Elephas maximus indicus: one gene and its partners. The protein of the gene in region 2 purifies or fractionates together with the protein of the main gene of each other region. This does not show direct contact. Links are inferred from orthologs where the notes say so. Each region holds a gene or a part of one and is shown on either strand. Other genes may lie near its edges.

Evidence for each region.
Region 1: the proteins of BSG (region 2) and SYMPK purify together in Homo sapiens (co-immunoprecipitation; 3 studies listed by BioGRID and IntAct, counting the BioPlex papers as one, with this or other methods). This does not show direct contact. The link is inferred for Elephas maximus indicus from reciprocal best matches to the Homo sapiens genes BSG and SYMPK.
Region 3: the proteins of BSG (region 2) and ATP2B4 purify together in Homo sapiens (affinity purification with mass spectrometry; 3 studies listed by BioGRID and IntAct, counting the BioPlex papers as one, with this or other methods). This does not show direct contact. The link is inferred for Elephas maximus indicus from reciprocal best matches to the Homo sapiens genes BSG and ATP2B4.

Annotation. Positions count from the first base shown.
Region 1 is NC_064829.1:103,798,596-103,806,640, forward strand, and holds the start of SYMPK (symplekin), read left to right. Parts: upstream 1-4,973; 5' UTR 4,974-5,058; intron 5,059-7,624; exon of another isoform or gene 7,625-7,654; 5' UTR 7,655-7,673; coding exon 7,674-7,778; intron 7,779-7,926; coding exon 7,927-7,992; intron 7,993-8,045. Other genes in the region: FOXA3 (hepatocyte nuclear factor 3-gamma), read right to left, coding at 3,953-4,021. UniProt on the Homo sapiens protein: Scaffold protein that functions as a component of a multimolecular complex involved in histone mRNA 3'-end processing. Specific component of the tight junction (TJ) plaque, but might not be an exclusively junctional component. May have a house-keeping rule.
Region 2 is NC_064821.1:308,593-316,001, reverse strand, and holds the start of BSG (basigin), read right to left. Parts: upstream 3,061-7,409; 5' UTR 2,964-3,060; coding exon 2,897-2,963; intron 1-2,896.
Region 3 is NC_064836.1:12,759,360-12,766,382, forward strand, and holds the start of ATP2B4 (plasma membrane calcium-transporting ATPase 4), read left to right. Parts: upstream 1-3,972; 5' UTR 3,973-4,390; intron 4,391-7,023. UniProt on the Homo sapiens protein: Calcium/calmodulin-regulated and magnesium-dependent enzyme that catalyzes the hydrolysis of ATP coupled with the transport of calcium out of the cell. By regulating sperm cell calcium homeostasis, may play a role in sperm motility.

The DNA of each region.
Region 1 (8,045 bases), on a different chromosome or scaffold from region 2:
AAAACCCTATGGAACTCAGTTCTATCCTGACACACATGGGTCGTCATTAGTCAGGCTGACCTGATGGCAACTGATTTCGATGATGGTTTTTCTCATCCTCTATTTATCCCTCTCACCTGCTCTCTCCCAGCCTGTCTCCTCCCTCTTACATCTACATCTCCATCTGCCCTGCCTCCTCCTCCAGGGAGACCAGGAAGGCAGTGTCCCCATTTGCAGCCGGGGGTCCCAGGGCACTGGGGGAGCTGCCATAGCTCTGGCCAGAGCCAGCTTTGGTGTGGGTCAGGAGGTCCCATCTCCTCCCCTGCCTGCACTGTCAGTGCCTGCGGGTCCCAAAGTCCAGAGAGAAAAGGGACTTGCCCATGGCCACTGGGGTGGTCAGGGCCAGGTGGCAACCAATTCCAGGTCAGAGTCCCAGTCAAGAATCCTCCCCTCGCTCCTTTGCAAGTCTCTCCAGATAGCTCTTCTCTCTTTTATCCCTGGAGCTCTCGGTTGGTTTTGTCTGTGTCTGTCTGTCTGTCTCCTTCCCTGTCTCAGTAACTCTAAGTTCTTTTCCTCTTCATGTCTCCATGGTTCCCTTTCTCCCTCTTTCTTTTCCCCTCTGACTTTTCCCCCTCTCTCTCTTCCCCCTTCCACCTCTCTCCTCCTTTCTTTCCCTTCTCTCCCCCATCTCCTTTGCTCTCCCTCTCTTCTTCCCTCTTTGGGTCTGTATCTCTTTCACACCCCCCCCGCCCTGTCTCTCTCTTCCTGCCTGTCTCACCTGCCACTATCCCTTCCCTTCTCTGCCTTCCTCTCCTCAACCCCACCTCTCCCCCCCCATCTGCTCCCCACCCTGTCCCTCCTTCCCATCCCTCCCCTGTCTCTCTCCACCCTTCCATGGCTTTCTGTCTCTCTCCCCCACTCCCCTGCCACCTCCCATCTCTTTCTCCCTCAGAACATCTTGGTATCTGTCTCCTTCCCTCAGCATCACCATTGCCCCAAAAGTTCAACACTGAAACCGGAGCCAAAGTTACTTCCCTCTTCCACCCACTGTGTCCCCCTGGTTGGCTGGCTCTGCCCCCTCCCCAGAATAAGGAAGGCGGGTCCTTCAGAGATGAAAGGAGGCAATGAATTCAGTGGGATCCAGAGAGAGTTGGGGAGGGATTTCTAAGTCCTTTTGCCACCCGCCCCCCCCCCACCAATTCTCTAACTCAGCTAAGTTCTTGTATAGCAGAGTAAGACAGACTGAGACCCTAGGGCCCTCCTTTACTGGCTTTCCCACCCACCAGGAAGTCCTCCTTTAGGTCTGACCTCAAGCTCTGTAGTTGCCCTAATCCACCCTAGGCTTTCCCACGCCCCAGGGCTGAGGTGAAGCCCGGTGTCCGGGTCTAAGCCGGATCTCCCCCGCCAGGGTGGGGCTGAGATGGGGGGAAGCCCTCAGGGGACCTGCACCCCCACTGCAGGAGGCTAGAATTTCTTCCCTTTCATTTCCTTATTGTTCCTGAGGGAGGGTGTGACGGGAGCAGAGGTAGGCAGTGCAAAGCCAGAAGCCTAGTGTCCAGTCCCTGGCCCAGCCCTGGGCTTCAAGCAGCCCCCAACACTCCTCTGGGCTTCAATTTTCCATCTCTAAAATGGGGGAGCAGTGGATCAGCTGATCTCTAAGAACCTGAGGCCAGTAGGGGTGGACCAGGGGTGATAACTTTCCAAACTCTCTTGACAGGGAGCCAGCCTGGGGGTATCAACATCACCCCAGCAGGAAGAGGTGGTTTGAGGACCCTGTTGGTTGCTGGGTGAGTGTAGGTATTTCTGGCCCCATTGTTCCGGCCCAGAGGGAAGGAGGTGGGTTAATCTGATGGGAGGGTTTGGGGAGACTCCCAGACAGTACCCTCCAAACCATTTCCAGCTACCCATATGTGGACTCTTCTAAAATATGCCCCCAAACTGTCCCCAAATGTTGATCCCCTCTGGATTGTCCTTCAATTTCTGAGTTATCTAGACTGTCCGTGCAAATTGTTCCCCTAAACTTGGATCCATCCAGACTGCATCCCAAATATTGATTCCCCCAGCATAGACTCGCCCACAAACTACTTCTAAGATGTGCCCCCAAAACACTGATTAGTGGATGGTCCTCTTAAGCCAAATGCCTAGACTCTGAGCTCTCCAGGAGGCCCGGCTAGAATCCCCCCACTAGCCAGGAGCCTCCACTTCCCACCCTGGTCTCCACCTTTCCCATCTCACCACTGACACCTCTAGCTGCCCCGCCTCTACCTCTCAACACTCCCAGCCCCTTCCCCAGCTGGCCCTTCCCTATCCCACGTGCACTTCACACCTCCACTGCCCCATGACTGGCCCCTCCTAGGCACACTGCCAGGCCCCACAGGTCTGGGGATCCAGGAGACCCACCCTACAGCTTCAAACCCCAGACCCAGGACTCAGGCATGCTGGGGCCCACATAACCCCCAGATCTCAGTCTCCCTGGAAAACTCAGCCATTCCAGCCTCACATCCCCACCTCAAGCTTGCAGTTTCCTTCCAGGTTAGGAACACAAGCATCCAGACCCCGTAACTCTCAGACTAGGATCCCCTACTCCCAGGTCTCACAATATGGACTATAAAAAAAACCCAATGCCGTCCAGTCGATTCCGACTCATAGTGACCCTATAGGACAGAGCAGAACTGCCACACAGAGTTTCCAAGGAGGGCCTGGTGGATTCCAACTGCCAAACTTTTGATTAGCAGGCGTAGTTCTTAACCACTATGCCACCAGGATTTCCATGTGGACTATAGAGTGAGTAAAGAAAGCAGCAGGAATCCTTGCAACAAGGGGAACAGTAGTTAGACTTGGAGAAGGACTTCTTGTCTCCTGGCCTGAGGGAATTAGGATAAACCCCCACCCACAAATCCAAGGAGGCCTTGTCTAAAATCAGACTGGATGAGGACATTAGCAATTGCTGGAGGTTGCTGGGGGGCAGGGATAATCTGAAACCCTCCACCCTCCAAAGAGGGGAGTCCCTGCTAAAGGACTCTAATAGCAGTTAAGTTCAGCTGGGAGGGGCTGCGAGTCCTGGGGAAGGATGGGAGGATGGAGATTGAAACACACCCTCTAAATACCCGCAAAGGTGATGCCCACATCTATCCGAGCCCCAACTCTAACCTGTCTGTTATCTCGGACCCCCAAAAGAAAGCTTCATCTCTGAACACCCCCATCTCGTACTCCTGAGTGCCAACCACTATTCCTGGCCCTATCTTAGATGGCCACCTTGATCCTCATTCCTGAACCCCCAACTTTACCACCATATTCTAAACCTGAGCTCCCACCTCCAAAACCTATTGTCGTCCAATCGATTCGGACTCATAGTGACCCTATAGGACAAAGTAGAACTGTCCAATAGGGTTTCCAAGGCTGTAATCTTTACAGGAGCAAATGGCCAGCCAGGTCTTTTCTCCCGCGAGGCAGCTGGTGGGTTCAAACCTCAGGCCTTTCCATCAGCAGCAGCAGCTGAACGCTTAACCACTGCGCCATCAGGACTCCTTGCTCCCACCGCAAACCTCCCTTAGTGGTTTCTCCCTACCCCCAGCTCATTATCTTTCCTCCAACTTTGAACCCCATTTCCTAATTCTTCAACTCTGTCCGCTACCCTGGAGCTCGGATTCCTATCTTTGGTTTGTTCATTTTAATCCCTGGGATTTCGGGTCCCCAAAACCCAGCCTTCACGTTTAAACTATGACCTGACCTTTGCCTACGTTTTCCTGACTCTTATTTGAGCCCTCACCCCGGCTCGCCTGCCGAAGCCGCGAGTCCATGCCTTGTCCCCTGTCCCGGATTCGCACACCTGGTTTTCGTGTCCCCCGTTCCTTGTCTCCCCAGTTAGATGCCCCGGTCCCGTTTGAGCCCACGCGCCTATCCCTGTCCCCATTTAAACCCACACCCGGGTGCCTGCCCCCCACTTCCCGCTCCGTCATCCCCGAGGACACACCTCGCCCGCCTCGGGGTAGTAGCTCCACTCGGCCAGGTCATGGGCCTCCATCTTCACCGAGCCCAGCATCCCCGGGGCCTGCGCCCCCACCCGCTCCCGTTCCGGTCCCGGGGGAACGGAACACTTCAGATCGCTCAGCAGGAACGGCCCGACTCCGAACGGCGCCTGCCCGTCCGACTGCCCGGGGTCCCCGCCGTCCCGGGCGCCGCGGGAGGCGGCCACGCTTTATAGCCGGGACACCCCCGCCCCTCGCCCGCCCCGGACTGCCCTCCCGCCTCCCCGAGGGCGGTGCGCTCGGCCTGGGGCGCCCCCTGCGGGACTGCGAGGAGAGAGACCTCAGGCGCCGGGGACCGCATTCCGGGGACGCGAGAGCAGGAGATGGCTGAAGAGTGAGGGAGCTGCCGGGGTGAGACCCTGCTGATATTAAAGGCCCCGAAGGTACAGCTCTGGAGCACTTCTACCCGAGGGGGAGGGACATGTTCATCACCTCGACAAAAGAGAACCAATATCCAGAGCCCAGCATGGCAACGGCGGAGGAAAGGGGCGCAGCGCGCAGGGCGCTCTAGGGGTACCGATGTACCACTATCAGGACCCTTAGCAGAGCCTGGAAAGCGCACTCCCAATGTACAGATGAGAATACTGAGGCTTCCGACGGCTGGAAATGTTCAGACTGGAAAGAAAGGGTCAGGGCTAAGGATGGGGAAACCGGGCCTCTGATCATACCACACTAGGACAACAGACCACCTCGAAGCTTCGCCTCCGGGATTCTTTAAGCTCTCCAACCCCGCCGTCCAGGGACTCGGAACCACTGGGAACTCCATTTCCCAGAAGCCTCTAGCTCCCTTTCCGCCCTGTGCCTCTACCAAGGGACTACATTTCCCGGAAGCCTGTGAGGGGCGGTCTCAGGGCACTCTGGGGAAGTGAGGAAGGCCGCTCGCGCCGCACGAGGTAAGGGCGGGGTCGGGGCGGTCTGGACTCCATTTCCCGGCAGCCCTGCGTGCGCAGCGCGTGCGCAGTGTCACGGCGGCGAGGGAAAGATGGCGTCGGTGGCGTCTGTGAGGAGGCGCTGCTGAGGGGGCGCGAGGGGGACGGAGGCCGGAGCCGCGGTGAGCGGGGGACGGCCTGGGGGCCGGGGAACGAAGGGAGGAGGGGCCCTCAGGAGGCGGGGGCGCTGGGGGGCCGCGACAGGAGAGGGGAGCAGTGGCGTTCGGGACCCTTGTTTCTTCCCCTGCTCAGCACCCTTCCGTGGCTCCCCAGTGCCCTCAGGGCAAAGTTCCAATGTGGCCCCCAAAGCGCGCCCGCCCCGCCGACCTCGCCGGCTTCCTCGCTGCCTTTTTGCTCACCCCCCACCTCTCACAGCTGCACCGGCTTTTCGGTTCCTCAAACTTGCCGTGCAGCTCCCCGCCTCATGGCTTTTGCACATGCTGACCCTTCTGCCCGCAGTACCCTTTTACCCATTCTGCCTGGCTAATTCCCATTCATCCTTTGGGGCCGGGCGCAAACGTCACTTCCCCTGCGTAGCACTCCTGGGGAGGATTTTGGGTCGACTTTGAATGAGATGTGGGAGTGACAGGCAGCAGGGAGCATAGGCAAGAGGCTGTTTACTCAGTTTACTTATGTGGTGCTGCTCTAACAAATGCCACAAATGGATGGCTTTAACAAAGAGAAATTTATTTTGTCCCAGTCTAAGAGGCTAGAAGTCCGAGTTGAGGGCGCCAGCTCCAGGCTTTCTTTTTCTGTCTGTTCTAGGGAAAGGTCCTTGTCATTAATCTTCACCTGGTCTAGTAGCTTCTCAACCCAGGGACCCACTCCCTTTCTGGTTCTTCATTCTTGATGCCATGAGGTCCTTCTGTCTCTTTGCTTGCTTCTCTGTCTTTTATATCTCCAAAGAGGTTGACTCAGAAGACAACCTAATCCTGTAGATTGAGTCCTGCCTCATTAACATCATAGAGATAGGATTTACAATGCATAGGAAAATCACATCAGATCACGAAATGGTGGACAGTTGCACAATACTGGGAATCACGGCCTAGCCCAGTTGACACACGTTTTTGGGGAACACAATTCAATCCATAACTGTAGTCATTCATTCAGCAGACATCTATCAAATAGCTACTCTGTACAGTACATAATGTTCCTTTTTAAAAACGTATCTTTTTTGCCCTCCCTAAATTCTGTTCCCCTGAGGTGATTATTGCTAATGGTTTGTGGACTGTTTTTCAGCTCTTTTCCCGTGTAGGTAACAATAGCCATACTCATCTAACATTTACTACATATACTAAGAATAGCCTTGGCAGTCAGGCACTGTTACCATCCCCGTTGTACAGAGATAGAAACTGAGACCCAGAGAGATTAAGTTTCTTACCTCAGGTTATTCTGTGAATACACACGCAGAAGCTTGGCAGAAATGGATTGAATTGCACGTACTGTTTTGTGACACAGCAGACTGTCGTAGACATCCTGTCCTGATAGTACATGAGATCCGCCACTTTTTTTTTTTACTGTTTTCTCCCACTTACGGTTTTTGGTTTGTCTTTTCAGTTTGTTGTTTGTTTGCTTTTTTGTATGTATATATGTATATATTTGTTTTTATAGAAGTGGAGCATATGGTGATAAACACCACCTTCCTCTTTACTTCCTTTAACTTAATATAACACAGGAGTCTGCTCCCCATCAGTGTATAAAGATTTTCTTTATTTCTTTCTTTTTCCTCTTAGTCCTTTTTCCAGTGGCATAGTATTTATCATGTGGTTGTATCATAATTTTTCAACCAGTTCCATTATTTAAGAACGTGTGGGTTGTTTCTGGCCTTTTGCTATTACGAATAGAGCTGTCATCGAGATCCTTCTACACTAATCATTTTATGATATTACCAGTATAACTTTGGGATGTTATTGCTAGCGGCCGTCCAGTCAGTCTCCAACTCATGCTAACCCCACACACAATGGAACAAAATCCTGCCTGGTCCTGGCCACACACACGATTGGCTGGGAATCGGACTGTTGTGATCTGTAGGGTTTCCGCTGGCTGATTTTCAGAAGTAGATAGCCAGGCCTTTCTCTCTGGTTCGTCTTAGTTTGGAAGCTCCACCAAAACCTGTTCAGCATCTTGACAACACATAAGCTTCCACAGACAGGCAGGTGATAGCTGCGCATGAGGTGCACTGACTGGGTATCAAACCCAGGTCTCGCTCATGGAAGGCTAGAATCCTATCACTGAGCCACCACTGTCCAAAAGTCCCCCCTCCCCTCCCAGCTCCATAGTATTCCAGAGAATAGCTGTAATATAACCTCTTTAACTAGGGCTTTTCTGATGTATCGGGTACCGACTGTGGGCAGGGCTGCTCCATGATTGGAGTTCCTCAGAGCTTTGTTTGAGAAAGTCAGGAAGCATGGAGACCAGTAAGGTGGCTTCTGTGGTTCATTTGGCATCCAGCCATTCAGCAGATGTTCTGGTCTGCTTGCTGTATATAAAGTACTGGAGCTGGAACTTGGGGACCTGCCTCTGACCTGGAAGTCCATCAGGGAAGGCGAGTGACATCAGTCTCCCCCAGATTACAACCACCATGCACACGTACATGTAGTCTGGAGTAGGCCGGGACTTTGGAAGGCAGGACAAGGAAAGGACAGGCTGGGGAAGTGGGTTGAGCCCTGTGTTGGTGATGGGGTGTAGGTCAGCTTGACCCATCCCCTTCTTCCCCAGGGGATACCTGACAGCAGCCATGGCGAGCAGCAGTGGGGACAGTGTTACCCGCCGGAGTGTGGCCTCTCAGTTTTTCACACAAGAGGAGGGAGCAGGCATTGATGGCATGACCACCTCAGAAAGGGTGAGTGTGGAGAGAAGGGCTCGGAGTTGGGATGCACAGCCCTGGCTTTCGGCGGGCCACCCCCACCCCCAGATCACAGAGCCTTGGGAGTGCCAATGGGCTAGGCTGGCAAGGCCAGCACCACCCCCTGCCTTTCTTTCCCCTCTAGGTGGTGGATCTCCTGAACCAGGCAGCACTGATCACCAATGACTCAAAGATCACAGTGCTCAAACAGGTGAGGGGTGGGGAGAGGGGGTGGGCTAAGGCGGGACAAGGGGAGGGGAGTGG
Region 2 (7,409 bases):
ACACAGCTCCCGGAGGTGCTGTCTGCTTTGGGCAGAGGGACAGGTCCTCACACAGGTGTGTCTTCCTCCCCCACAGGCCCCCACCACGAATGTGTCGTGCAGTCCCTGAATACTGCTGAGGGACACACACACGTATGCACACACACAGCCCCAGTTCCAAGGCAGTGGTGAGAAGAGCCAAGTGGTCCCCCACGAGGCAGCCCAAGGCAGGCAAGGCGACTGTCCTCGGCAGAGAGCCACCTCTGGTCTCCTGAGCTTCTCAGAGAGAATCAGGCCTCCCCAGTTGCGAAACCAGCAGCTGAGTACAGGGCAGGGCAGGGCTGGAACAGGGCAGGAAGTGGAGTCTAAGGTCCCCCCGCTCCCCGCGGGCTTCTCTACCTTTACAGCTGTTCTCACCACCCAGAGCTGCTAGAAAAGAGGCCTGGGGGGGGGGCGGGGGGGGGGGGGAGAGTCTGTTCCCTCTGCGTTTGTGAAGGGGTGAGTGTGGACTACCCCCACCCCCATCTATCAGCACCAGCGGGGCAGCATCCATGGGCCACATCCTAGAGATCTGGGGCTGCTCCGAACAAGGTGGATGTTGTCCCCAAGGGGCAGAAGTAGGCTCTGGGGGATAAAAACCCCTAGTGTCAAGGCCACTCTCAAGAGGCAGTGAGGATCACACATGATGTTAATTTTCAGTGTGGGACAATTAGTAAAAAATGTCTCAAAAGGCCCCTTACTGGGCAAGAACTGAAAAAAGCAGAAAAGCCTCCCCCACTTCTGCAGGAGGTTTAGGATTGGATCCCGCCTGGCCCCCAGGGTTCACAGGAGGCCCCCAAGAGCACTCAAGACCTCAGGAAGCCCTGACCCCCCGCTCCTAGAAAAGTCAAAGCTGATGCTGGCCACGTGATCTGCAGCCTGTGATCTCAAGTAAAGTCACCTTCATCTAAAAACAGCCACTCCCTCCTGCTTCCCTCTGGGCTGGGGGCCAGCCACGGGCCTGGAGGTAAACAAGCTGCCCAGGCCTGCAGGGGAGGCGCCCCGCCCGGGTGGAGCAGACAGCAGGGCTGCGGGGCACTGTCTGCCATCTGTGGGTCCCCCGGCCCCAGATTTCCCCAGTGGGAGAGAAGAGCAGGGCTGTCAGCATGAGAAAGGAAAACGAACCAAGTCTGCCCGGCAACTCCACCCTACTCCTGCTCAGCTCAGACCACCGCCTGCCCGGGAGAGAGTGTGGCGCTCAGCATTAGTTCGAGGTGAGACGTGTGTTGAGCTTGAACCCAGATAAGGATGCGTCCCCAACACCAGGTGGCTTCTAAAGGTCCCCTGCCAGCAACAGCCTATCTGCCGCCCCCTGGCATATCTGTGTCTCAGCATCTCAGTTAACAGCTGTGTGATTAGAAAAGCGAAGACCAAACAGTCTTGAAGTTGGTCAGGAGCTCCCACCCACTGTGCCCACTGCCAGAATGATGCCCCCACCTCTCCCAAGCACGGATTCCAGCCCTCACGTCTGCACTCTGTCCCCTATGTGCGTGTGGACACCGTAAATCTTTAACCCAAAACCAAACGTGTAGTCCAGATACAGGAAAGGAACAACCCTATGAAGCAAGAGAGCCCTTCTTGTGTTTCCCCTCAGACCATTCTTCCCACTTCAGCAAACTGCACTGGAAATCCACCACCACTGAATCTTTAAAAAACTACTCTGGACATTTCCTACCCTGAACTTTGGGGCCAAGGCAACCTCGTCATGACCTTGGAGTATCTTCCCTCCCTCCTGGGCCTCAGTTTCCCCAGCTGTAGGAGCAGGTGCGGACTAGAGCCCAAGGTCTGGTGAGGCCCAGCAGCAGGCCCCAGGTGGCACAGGGGACAGTGCACACCACAGCAAGGCTGAGGCCCAAATCCCATCGGGAATGATAATCCCCCCACCCAGGAAGCTGACCCATTTTTGAGCCATTTCACATGCACCTGTATTCGCGTCAGTGTGAGAATGACAGGAGCCCATTTTCCAGAAGAGAAAGCCCAAGCTGCCCAGGACATACTGGGACCACAGCCATGGATCCGAGTTCAGGGGAGGTGGGTCTTTCTGCTGCACCCCTACCCTAACACAGGCCCCAGGCAGGGGGTGACACCGAGATCCAGTCTCAGGTCGCACTCCAGGCCCTGCAGGCTCCAAGGGGCTCCCGGGACGAATGAGACGAGACCGAGGCCAGGCCCAGACTCCGACCCCGCAGTTCTGGCCCAAAGGGGAGGACGCTCAAGGACCCAGGCCCCGGTCTCCCTCCCTCTGGTCCAGACGCTCCTGCTGGAAGCGGCGGCAGGCGGCCCACCTCTGGAGCCCACCCCATATGCCCTCATCCAGGGCCAGTCCCCTCCCGGAGGCTCCAGCCCGGGGGCCCGAACGGCAGCTTGGGGACTGCACCTCCAGCACCGCCCCGGGCCAGGCGCCCCAGGTGCTCCCCCCAAGCTCGGGGGCTTCGCTCCCAGGTCCCGATGAGAAGCCCACCCGCCGCGAGCCCCGGCCGCGGGCTTCAGCCAGGCCTGTCCGGAGCTCCCCGGGAGCCCCCAGCGCGCGGCCTCACCGCCACTCCGCCCGGCCGCCCCCGGCGCCCCGGACCCGCACCGACGCCCCGGACCCCGCACCGGCGCCCCGCACCCGCACCGACGCCCCGCATCCGCACCGACGCCCCGCACCCCGCACCGGCGCCCCAGACCCCGCACCCCGCACCGGCGCCCCGCACCCCGCACCGGCGCCCCAGACCCCGCACCCCGCACCGGCGCCCCGCACCCCGCACCGGCGCCCCGCACCCGCACCGGCGCCCCGGACCCCGCACCGGCGCCCCGCGCCCCGCACCGGCGCCCCGCACCCGCGGCCTCCATGCCGGGCCCCCTTCGGGCGTCGCGACCCCGGCCCGGTCCTCACCCGCCCCGGAGGCGCCCTCGACGCCCAGGAGCGCGGCCACCAGCACCACGAGCAGCACGGCCGCCATGTCGCCTCGTCCGTCCTCCGCCGCCGCAGCCAACTGCCGCCACCCGTCGCCGCCGCCGCCCGCGGCCGCAATAAGAACCGGCAGAGGCCGCGGGCGCGCGCGCGCAGGGCGGCGTCCGGGGCGCGCGCACGCAGGGCACGCCGGCCGGTCCGTTTGCGCACGCGCGGGGGCGCACGTACGCACGCGCTGACTCAGACCGGTTAGCGCTAAGGGCATCCGGGCGGCGGCACCAGGCACGTGTCCGCGGCGAGCCACGCCTCCTGGCCTCCTGGCCCCCGGCCCCGGCGTTGCTAGGAAACGCGGGCGGGGCCGGCGAGGACCCGGCTGGGAGGCCGTTTCCCGCCCTGGCTTCTCGGAGAGTCTGTGGGCCGCGTCCGTTCGTCCTTCCGGCAGCGAGTCTTTGGAAAAGCTCTTAGTGAGGCTACAGGGTGCCAGCTGTGACCAGGTGGGATGCGAACCCCTGGCTTGATGCTACCAGCTTAGCAAATAAAAATACCGGACAGCAGTTAAATTTCAGATAGAGAACAAATAATTTTGTAGTGTTTAAGTGTCCCGTGCAATATTTGGACATAGTTATTTAAAAAAAAAAAAAAACCTATTTGTGTTTCTCTGAAATTGCAGCTTCACTGGTCGACCTCCATTTTGTCTGGCAACTCTGCCCTGGGGCCTGTGTTTTTACTACACACACTGACGCGAACGATGAATGCCGTGTGGGGTGTTCGCCTCAGAAATTAATCAACACTCGGATTTGACTCGCATAAACTCGTTTCGTTTACCGCAGGGGGGTCCTGCCAAACAAAGCACGCAACAAGGCCCCCGCCCGTAGAGCCAGAGAATCAGGCAACAGCCACCGTTATCTCCGTGGTGAGAGCTCCGTGGTGAGAGCCCCGTGGTGAGAGCCCCGTGGTGAGAGCCCGTGGTGAGAGCCCGTGGTGAGAGCCCGTGGTGGGAGCCCCGTGGTGAGAGCCCGTGGTGGGAGCTCCGTGGTGAGAGCCCGTGGTGGGAGCCCCGTGGTGGGAGCCCCGTGGTGGGAGCCCCGTGGTGGGAGCTCCGTGGTGAGAGCCCGTGGTGGGAGCCCCGTGGTGAGAGCCCGTGGTGGGAGCTCCGTGGTGAGAGCCCGTGGTGGGAGCCCCGTGGTGGGAGCCCCGTGGTGGGAGCCCCGTGGTGAGAGCCCGTGGTGGGAGCTCCGTGGTGAGAGCCCGTGGTGGGAGCCCCGTGGTGGGAGCCCCGTGGTGGGAGCCCCGTGGTGAGAGCCCGTGGTGAGAGCCCGTGGTGGGAGCCCCGTGGTGAGAGCCCGTGGTGGGAGCCCCGTGGTGGGAGCCCCGTGGTGGGAGCTCCGTGGTGAGTGCTCCGTGGTGAGAGCCCCGTGGTGAGAGCCCGTGGTGAGAGCCCGTGGTGAGAGCTCCGTGGTGAGAGCCCCGTGGTGACAGCCCCGTGGTGGGAGCCCCGTGGTGGGAGCCCCGTGGTGGGAGCCCGTGGTGGGAGCCCCGTGGTGGGAGCCCCGTGGTGAGAGCTCCGTGGTGAGAGCTCCGTGTTGAGAGACTCCAGGCGTTTTCTCTGAGGAGTGGTCTCGGGAGGAAGGCTCGACCACGGGTGGGGTCCCTCACAGCTGGGCGCGAGGTTGGCAGCAGCGAGGAGCTCCCATCTCTGCCTTCTCAGCGGGTGGGCGGAAGTTCAGGGTTTACATACAGATGCCTCGTCTTGGCCTCACAGGATGGGCCCACTGTGACATCAAAGACTAGTTGGTAACGTCTTCTCTGCAGAGTTAGAGGTTAGCCGAATGTCTCGTCTTTTCTTCAGGGTTAGAGATGAGGAAGTTGTTTAGATTTATATCTCAAGACTAGTTTCTGAAGCTTGCTATGCTGTTTGCTTTCGTCGCAGCATGCCAGGTTTAAGTCAACTTTATGGTTATTCACGCTCTTCACCCACTTCACTTGCTTCTATTTGTCAGTTAGGAATTTCTAAATCACTTTCTAATGATTTACAGTTAATGGTTAGAGAGGCCTACAAAGGCAGACATATTTCTATTTCTAAATTCATATTATGAGTACATACATATATGTATATATGCAAGGATAGGAGTGACTTAGACTTAATATGATTGGAAAGCATTACAGAAACATACAGAACAATAAAGTAATTTCAAATGCTGATAAATGCAAATGTAAAAAACATCGCTGTTGAGTCGATTCCAACTCATGGCGGTAGCCCAGTGCGGCAGAGTAGAAACTGTATGTGCTCTGTAGGGTTTTCTTTCTTTTTTTGCTTAAACAAGCAGGAATTTATTTTCTAACACTTAGGCTGGAAGTCTGAATTCAGGGTTTTGGCTCTCGGGGAAGGCTTTCCCTCTCTGTTGGCCCTGGAGGAAGGTCCTTACCTCTTTTCAGTTTCTGTTCCTCCGTGATCTTCCTGTGACTTGGTACCTGTCTTCCCCCATCTCTCTCCTCAGCTTGCTTCCTTAATCTGCTCTTTTATGTCTCAAGAGAGATTGATGTAAGACGCACCCAACACTAACACTTCCTCATTAACGTAACAAAGAAAAGCACTTCCCAAATGGGACTATAAGGACACATAGGGTTTTCAGTGACTGATTTTTTTTTGGAAGTAGATTGCCAGGCCTTTCTTTCCAGGCACCTCTGGATGGACTCAAACCTCCAGCCCTTCAGTTAGCTGCCAAGCACATTTACTGTTTATACCACCAGGGGATCAAAGACCTAAATATAAGTACTGAACTAGAAAACTCTTAGAAGAAGAAAAAAAAACAGAAAATTTTAATTTTTTTCTAAGAAAACATGGGGATAAATCTTTGTGACTTAGATTAGGCAATGGTTTCTTAGACATGACACCAGAAGCACAAGAAACCAAAGAAAAAGTAGATAAGTTGGACCCCATCCAAACTTCTGTGCTTCAAAGGAAACCACCAAGAAAGTGCAAAGACAACCCATCAAATAGGAGAAAGTATTTGCAAATCATATGTCTGATAAAGGACTTATACCTGGGATCTATAAAGGACTCTTACAAGCTTATAATAAAAAGACAAACAATACAAAATCAGCAAAGACCCGAATAGCCAGTTTTCCTAAGAAGATGTACAAAAGGCTGATAAGCATAGGAAAAGGTGCTTAACATCATTAGTCATCGCCAAGGGCCCCTTCACCCACACTGGGATGGCTATTATAAACAGACAGATGATAACAAGTGTTGGCAAGGACGCGGGAAGACAGGCATCTTCATCCATTGCTCATGGGAAGGTAAAATGGTGTAGCCGCTGTGGAAAACAGTTTGGTGGCTCCACAAAAACTCAAACGTAAAACTGATGTGACCAGCAATTCCACTCCGAGCTATATATAAAAAATATATATATATACATACAGACGTATAATGTGGAGAAAGGGGACAGCCCAAGTGTCCATCTGCAGCTGAATAGATAATACAACGTGGTCCGTCCACACAACGGATTATCAGCCATAAAGAGGGAAGAAGTACTGATACCTGCCGTAACGTGGACGGACCTCACAAACATGATACTCCGTGAAAGAAGTTAGGCACAAAAGACCACATATTGTCTGATTCCATTTTGATATGAAATGTCCAGAATAGGCAAATCCATAGAGATGAAAGTGGATTAGCAGTTTCCAGGGACCAGGGGAGGAGGGATGGGGAGTGACTTTTAATGGGTACAGGGTTCCCTTTTGGGGCGGTGAGAAGGTTCGGGAACCAGGCAAAGGTTTTGGTTGCACAGCATTGTGAATGCCCTAAAAACCGCTGAGCTGTGCACTTTAAATGGGTAAAGAGCCTGGTGAGCAAATTACATCTCAATACAAAAATAGGGTGATGTGAGTTCCCAGGGGAGAGTGCCTGCTTCAGGTGAGGGTCCAGCAGCTTCTTCAAGGAGGTGACATTTGAGAACACAGTGTCCCCTGCCTGAGCAGGAGGGAAGCGTTATCCAGGGAGGGGTCTTCTCAGAGCTGATGGAGCCCAAGTATGGTGGACAGGGAGGGGAGGCTGGAAGGACGGGCAGTGCTGGGCGACAGAGGGGCATGCTGATGAAGGAAGGGGCTGAGCTGGCAAGGGCTTCAGGCCAGGGATGGCTGCGGGTCAGGGGCCTGGGCCTCAGAGCAGCCGAGCCCCAGCCCTGGCAGCCATCCAGGCTTAGAAAGGCTGCCAGCCCCACTGGGGGATTGGGAGCTACGTGCAGAATCGGGGAGGACCACGAGGCCCAGGCAGGGGCCACTGGCTTCAAAGCCCTTCCAGGGTTGTAAACAACCCCTCCTGCCTGGCTGATATCCTGAGCCTCCTGGCGAGCTTCTGCTGAATTCCCCCTCGGCATCCCACATGTCGGAAAACAGGCCTCCTGGGAAACATGAGGGCCACCTGCAGCTTCTGGAAGCCTTAGTCTTCATGTACAAGGTCAAGCTGCATCTCTTTGAAGACACGGTGTCCTGG
Region 3 (7,023 bases), on a different chromosome or scaffold from region 2:
GGACAGTGTCAACAGTGGCTTGAGCCCTGCAGAGATTCACCTGCTCTGGGGAGGCCATGACACCTGACTGAAGAGAGCCGGGCTACAGCTAAAGAAGTAAAGTCAAGAGGAGGACAAGGATGAAAGACAAATGGGGTTACTCAGAGGCTTAGGGGAGCTGAACCTTGCAGAAAAGCCAAACTATGAACTTCTGATGCCAGAAGCAATGCCCTCCCTCCTGCCACAGGGGCACAACTCCACTTTCCCACATCTAGTGGTTATTTTTATGGATGGATTTATTTTTACCCATTCTAGACCTCAGCTCCAAACCTGCTGCTGGAAGCAACAAGGCACTGAGGCTTCTGGGTTTCCAGAAAGCACAGGCTTCAGTGGCTGGCTCACCTCCAGAAATCAGGCTTAAGTCACCCCTGGAGTCACCTTGTCCTACCACCCAAATCCCTCTCTCCTGTCTTCATGGAGGCTGGGGTGGGAATGGAACAGGGGAATTTCTCTTTTCTCACCCCACAACCCCCCAGGCAGAGAAGGGAAAGCAGTGGGCTCTGAGAAAAGGGAAGACCTACAACAACCATGCTGTTGTTGTTAGCTGCCATCAAGTCAACTCTGACCCGTGGCGACCCCGTGCATGCAGATTAGAATTGTGCTTCACAGGGTTTTCAAGGCTGTGATGTTTTGAGAGTAGATTGCCAGGCCTTACTTCAGAGGTACCTCTGGTGGGTTTGAACCATTAACCTTTTGGTTGGTAGTCCAGTGTACCACCTAGGGACTCCTTCCAACTACCTTAGAAGTCACAACCTGGGCTCATCCATGAAACCTAGCCAGAGGAGGTGGGACAGACATTAGGCTTCTTTCAGCAGCGCCTGCCCTGCTGAGCCTGTCTCCCTGAAGCCCAGGGAATTTAAGAAAAGGCTATTGCCTTTCCAATAATGACCAGCTGTCACCTGGCATCACGTCCAGCCCCCACATGCCAGACAGCCAAAGCAGACTTCCCCTTTAGTGGAGCCATACATCTGGCCTGAATTATTATTCCCCCAAGAAAAGTTTATCGAAGAGTTAGGCAATGCCTCCACATACAGCCACTGAAGACAAGCTTAAAATATACTGTAATACATTTAAAGAGCCATTTCGGGGACTGGCTTTCTCATGATAAAGATGCAACCGACACTCACTGGGTGCTAAAATGTCAAGTTGTTGCAATCCAGCAGAGAACATAACAAGCCACTAAATGTGAAGCTCTGTTCAGCTGATTTCTTTCCATTCATTCCCTTGCCTCCCCCAACAATTGATTTTGGTTCGTGAAGTTGACGTTTTGGTGGGACCTACCAAAATCTGAGAAGGTGTCCTTTCTATCCCAACCATCAGTAAAAATGAGGAGAACTCACAAGGCCAGTGCCAAGTTCTTCCACCGAAATGCCCTGGAAGGATAGGACCAGAAAATTGGAGAGAGGGGTGGGGTGCAAATGAGAACAAAACCTCACCGTAGTGTCCTCTAAGTGCCTAGGAACAGGGCAGTGGTGGCCCAGAGGTAGAATTCTTGCCTTTCACAGGGGGAGACGCGGGTTAGATTTCTTACCACTCGTCTGTCAGTGGAGGCTTGTATGTTACTATGATGCTGAACAGGTTTCAGCAGAGCTGAACTAGACTAGGACAGACTAGGAAGAAAGGCCTGGTAATCTACTTCTGAAAATCAGCCAGGGGAACACTATGGATCACAATGATCCAATTTGCAACTAACCATGGGGATGGTGCAGGACTGGGAAGCATTTTATTCTGTTATGCATGAGGTCACCGTGAGTCAGGAGCAGACTTGACAGCAGCTAACAACAATGATAAGTGCCTAGGAGGGCAAGAACTTCAAATCCTAGGAAAAAAGAACTGCTTGAGAAAATCCCATGGATGGTTTCCATAGATGTTGTTGCTGTTAGGTGCTATCAAGTTGGTTCCGACTCACAGCAACCCTGTGCACAACAGAAAGAAACACTGCCCAATCCTGCGCCACCCTCACAATCATTGCTACGCTTGAGCCCATTTTTGCAGCCACTGTGTCACTCCATCTCATTGAGGGCCTTCCTCTTTGTAGCTGATCCTTTACTTTACCAAGCACGACGTCCTTCTCCAGGGACTGGTCCCTCCTGATAACATGTCCAAAATAACACGTCCATGAAATGAAGTCTTGCCATCCTCGTTTCTAAGGAGCGTTCTGGCTGGACTTCTTCCAAGACAGATTTGTTCGTGCTTTTGGCAGTCCGTGGTATATTCAATATTCTTTGCCAATACCATAATTTAAAGGCATCAATTTTTCTTCAGTCTTCCTTATTCATTATCCAGCTTTCATGTGTCTTTGAGGCAACTGAAAACACCATGGCGTGAATCAGGTGCACCTTAGTCTTCAAAGTGACCCCTTTGCTTTTTAACACTTTAAGGAGGTCTTTTGCGTCAGATTTGCCCAATGCAATGCATTGTTTGATTTCTTGACTGCTGTTTTCATGGGCTTTGATTGTGGATCCAAGTAAAACAAAATCCTTGACAACTTCAATATTTTCTGTTTATCATGATGTTGCTTATCGGTCCGGTTGTGAGGATTTTTCTTAGAAAATTGGGAAGGGTGCTGACTGGCAGAATCCAAACCCTTGGGTTTCATTCACAACTCTGTTTCTCCATGTGCACAGTGAAATGGCCAGAAGGCTCTGTGTTCTGGGGAAGGGAAGGCTGCAAAGGAGGACAGGTGTTGTGTGAGGTGTTGGGTTAGGATGTTTGGATTAAAGAGGCCTTCTCCCAAACCTCTGTTAAGAAGGTTGGGAAGTTGTAGTCAGTAACCTTCTTCACAGCAGAATTTGCAGCTATAACCTATGAGGTGTGGGTTAACCTGCCTCCCATAGTCATGTAAATGTGAGTGAGCTTGTGTGCTGAGGTGGGTGTGGGAATCTATCAGTCAATGAAGCCGTGTTGTGCGAACCAGCTGATGGTGCATGTTTGTACTTGAAAGCCATAAAGTTCTATGCAAAATCTATGGGTGGCACTGTTGCACAATGCTGGTGGGGGTGTGAGTTTGGCGGTGGGATTACCTTTGTAGGCTGTATGCGAGTGCGCATGGATGTCTGAAATGTGTGCCACAGGACTGCAGAAAAGTACATGGGCTTGGGAGTCAGCCTGATTTGGCCTTAACTCCTGGTTCTGTCATTAACTAGATGTGTAAACTTGGGCGAATCACTGGGTCCTTATTTTCCTCACCCACAAAATGAGAACAATAATAAATATCTTTCAAGATTGCCGTGAGGATTAGAAACCATACCACATATACAAAGCTTCTGGTGTCCTAGGTGGCACATCGTAGGACTCAGGGTAGGCAGCTATTATCACCCACCCTATATGGCCTCTGGTGCGTACAGAAGCAAGAGAGGGCAAAATGCCACCCAGGAATCTGTGTGTGAAATCTGGTGGAGAAGGTTTGTACCAAGGTGTGTACATAAACAAAGCTACACACACACACACACACAGAGTGCAATTCCTTCTTCCACTCCAGGAGTCCCTATTCAGAGGGGCGGGAGGGTGGGAGATAAAAGTCTCCGCAGATTCTTTGGGTTTCTAGGCTTCTGGGTCCCGAGTCTAAGCCAGTAAGAAGTTGAGAGGCTGGTAGGAGCTGCAGGAAGCCAACCGCCTGCAGAAGCTTCCTTTTTTTCCCTCCACCCAGCAACGGTTGAATACCGCCACCCATATCCACTCCCCACCTTCCCCCCCCACCCCCCCACCCCCGACTCTGCTTTCTTTTCAACAAGTGAGAGTAAGGGCGGGGAGGAAACCCGAGTGAGAAGGGGATTCCTCCGGTTCCCTTCCCCATTCCCCCTTAAGACACACCAGGAAGCAGCCGCAGCGCGCGGTCGGGCCACCTTAACAGCGGAGTGATGGTCTGGCCTGGCGCCAAGTCCCACCTCGGTTCCAGCTCCGGCTCCTCCCCTTGCTCCGCCCGCACTGCTCCGGGGAGCTGGTGAGCGAGGGTCTGGCCGGAGTTGGCAGGAGCTGTTGCCATGACAAGCATTTTCTTAAGAAAGCTCTGCTGTTGAGGCCATCCAAATCTAGGGACTGGGGGTGGGGGGGGCGCCAACTTCCTGGGGAACCATCCCTCCAAGGAGAGCAAGATCAAAGACACCCGCCCAGCTCTCCCGAACCCTTTTTCTTCCAGGGACCTGAGAGGTCTTTCCCTTTGGAAGGGCCGAGGAGGAAACCCAGCCCACTCCCCGGATCTGGCAAGAAAGGCCAGAAAGCAAAGCCAGCGTCGCTAGAGCGGTTGCCACAGTGGGGAGGCCGGCGGGTGGTCACCGTCACCCTATCCCGGTCCATGGTGACCCGGAGGGAGAGCCCCGCTCGGAGAAGCCCGGATCCTTGCTAGAAAGAGGTAGGCTTGCTTGGAATGAATTGACTCTTGATTTGCAAACTTTCTTTCTTTCTTTTGAATCGTTTTAAAACTCCCTGAATTTCTGCTTCCGAGCATATTTTATGTGACTGGGTTTGGAGATTTGGGGGGATTTTTTCCGTGTGTGCCTGTGAACAGATTTGTCAAATATTTCTTTCCTGGACTTGGTTCTGAGAAATCACATAATCAAACAAGTGATTTCTTTTGTTTTTCCTGGTTCTTGTCATTCCTGGGCTGTGGGGGTTAGGGAAACGACAGGACTGTTCTGACACCCAAATTGAGCTCTTAGAAAAGCATTTATTTCTCCCGTCCGTTCCTGTCCTCCGCCTCCCCCTTGGCTTGGGAATCAGACGCAGAATGGAAAACTGTTGCAAAAATATTTTCCGTGTCTGTTCTCTTTCTCGAAAGCCCCAAAGAGAGATGGAAAAAAAAAAAAAAAAAAAAAAGAACCAAGTAAGAAATCTTCAGCAGGAAGGAGGGGCTGCAGTGGGGACTGGAAAAGGGGTGCCCTGGGGGGGGGCTAAGAGAGGCGCACAATGGGAAGGGGGGTGCACAAAATAAATTTCTTTGGCTTTGCGGAGAAACCTCGGCGTTTTCTCTCTGCCTCTTGAAAACATCCTCAGACTTTCACGGCTATAATTAGCTGTGGAAAAAAGCTAGGAGTTCCCTAGTACCGCTGTTGTTTGAGTGTGTGCCAGCGTCGGGAACCAACTGTATGAGTGTGTCTGAAGGGCACCACCCCACACATCTCGGGTCCCAAAAGGGAGGAAGAAGGGGTGAAGTTGGAAAGTTTGCGATGTCAAGGCCGGTGACCTGGGGCTGGTGAGGGCTTGCCGTTTGGGGGTTGCCGAGAGGCATCCTCGGGGAAGTCGGGGTGGGGGGAGTCCCTGAAGCGTCTTGGGCCTCAGTGTTGTTTTGCTGAGGAGCTAGAAACTAAGGCCGGAATTGTCCCTCCTGCCCTTCGTTCTCACACACACACCACAGTCTCACACACTCACATCCTAGGCCCACTCCCGGCGGAGGATCCCGGCTGGCACCCTCCTTGCAGCGAGTCCAGCCTCACACGCGCCATCGCGCCAAGGCACCCACTGCTCTTCTCCAGCGGGATGTGGAGGGCCCGGGAGTGGCAGCGGCCGCCGCATCCTGGGAGAGGAGTGGGCACTCTGTTAGCCAGAGGCGCCTCCCTCCTGGGCATTCCTGCAGGACTTACAATAACTTGCAGACAAGATGCTGGCGCTGCTGGCCTAGTAGGGGGAATGTCAGATGAAGAAATAGGCGGGCACTCAACCGACGCCGCTGGGGGGAAGGGAAAAAGGGGTAGGGAGGGAGGGAAAATAAAATCCGGTTCCACAGCGCCATCTCCTCTTCTGGGTGGGGTGCCACTCTCTCTTTGAGCCCCTCCCCAGAGCGGCCCCTTCTCTCTGCCCTTCTCGTTTGGATGACCCCCCTCCAGCCCCTCACTTCTGGGCCTTCTTTACCTGGAAGGAAGAGATCAGGGGGGTATTCCAGGCTGGGACGGCGGTGGAGAGAGGCCTTGGGGTAGGGAAGGGCTGGATGGAGAGGACCTTAGGAGGAAGGGGGCTGGCAGAGGTGGTGGCTAGTGAGCCCACTGACCCTCCTTGGCTGTGGATGGTGGCTTCGGGGGGCTGGCTCTGGAGGGGTGGTGGCAGCTTGGTGGACAGGTGGTCTGGAAGGTGACTCCTGTCCCTGAAGCAGGCAAATCTGTGGGCAGCGGGCTGGGGGAGAGGAAACACCTGCCCTCAGCCCCAACTAGAGAAACTGGGGAGGAAGGAAGCAAAAGACCAGGAGAGCTTAAATGGGGGACAGGAAGCAACAGGAACCACTTTTCATTTTGAGGTGTTGGAGTATTGATCTGGCTGCACCCCAAGGCTAGATGGCTTCTCCCTGCCTGTGTTCTGTTCCAGAAGGTAATGAGGCCTTCTCCAGTGCTAAGAGGTCACAAGCCATAATCAGTGCCCTTCCTCTGTAGGAAGGGGGCCCAAGGAATCCATTTCTTTGCTACTTATCCAGGAGCCCCATCCTCCTTTCCACCATCTTGCTGAGGTGCAACCCCGAAATCAGGCCGCACCGTGCCCTTCCTTGTGCCCTTCAGTGTGCCCTTGCGTCTTGGGGGTACTGAATCTCACCATTCGGGCAGCAGGCCTATTTTCAGTATTCTGACTTGGAGCGGATCCTTTTGGGGGAGGGCTTCTGCCTGCAGGTTCCGATTTAGCGCCCACCTTGGCGCCAGCTCCACGACCTGGTGTCCTGGGTAGGGGGCAGCGGTGGAGCCTGCTCTCTGCAGCCCCAGCCGGTCTCGCGGGTGCTCCAGGGCAGGGATCGATACTGCAGCAAGCCCGCGGACCCCTCCCCTCTGGGCTGCCTCGCCGCCCCGCCTCGCCCCACCCCGCTCCGCCGTCAGCCTCTCCCGCAGCTCGGCTCCACCCTCCCCGGGTCTGCCGTAATCTAAGTACTCGGTGGAGAAGATGCTAGTGCTGCAGGAGCGGGGGTTTGCTGCCGTCCAGACCCTGCTAAGGCTCAGTCACTTCCCCTTCCACTTACCACCTCCGGTGCTTGGATTTGGAAACCCTGGTGGCGTAGTGATTAAGAGCTAT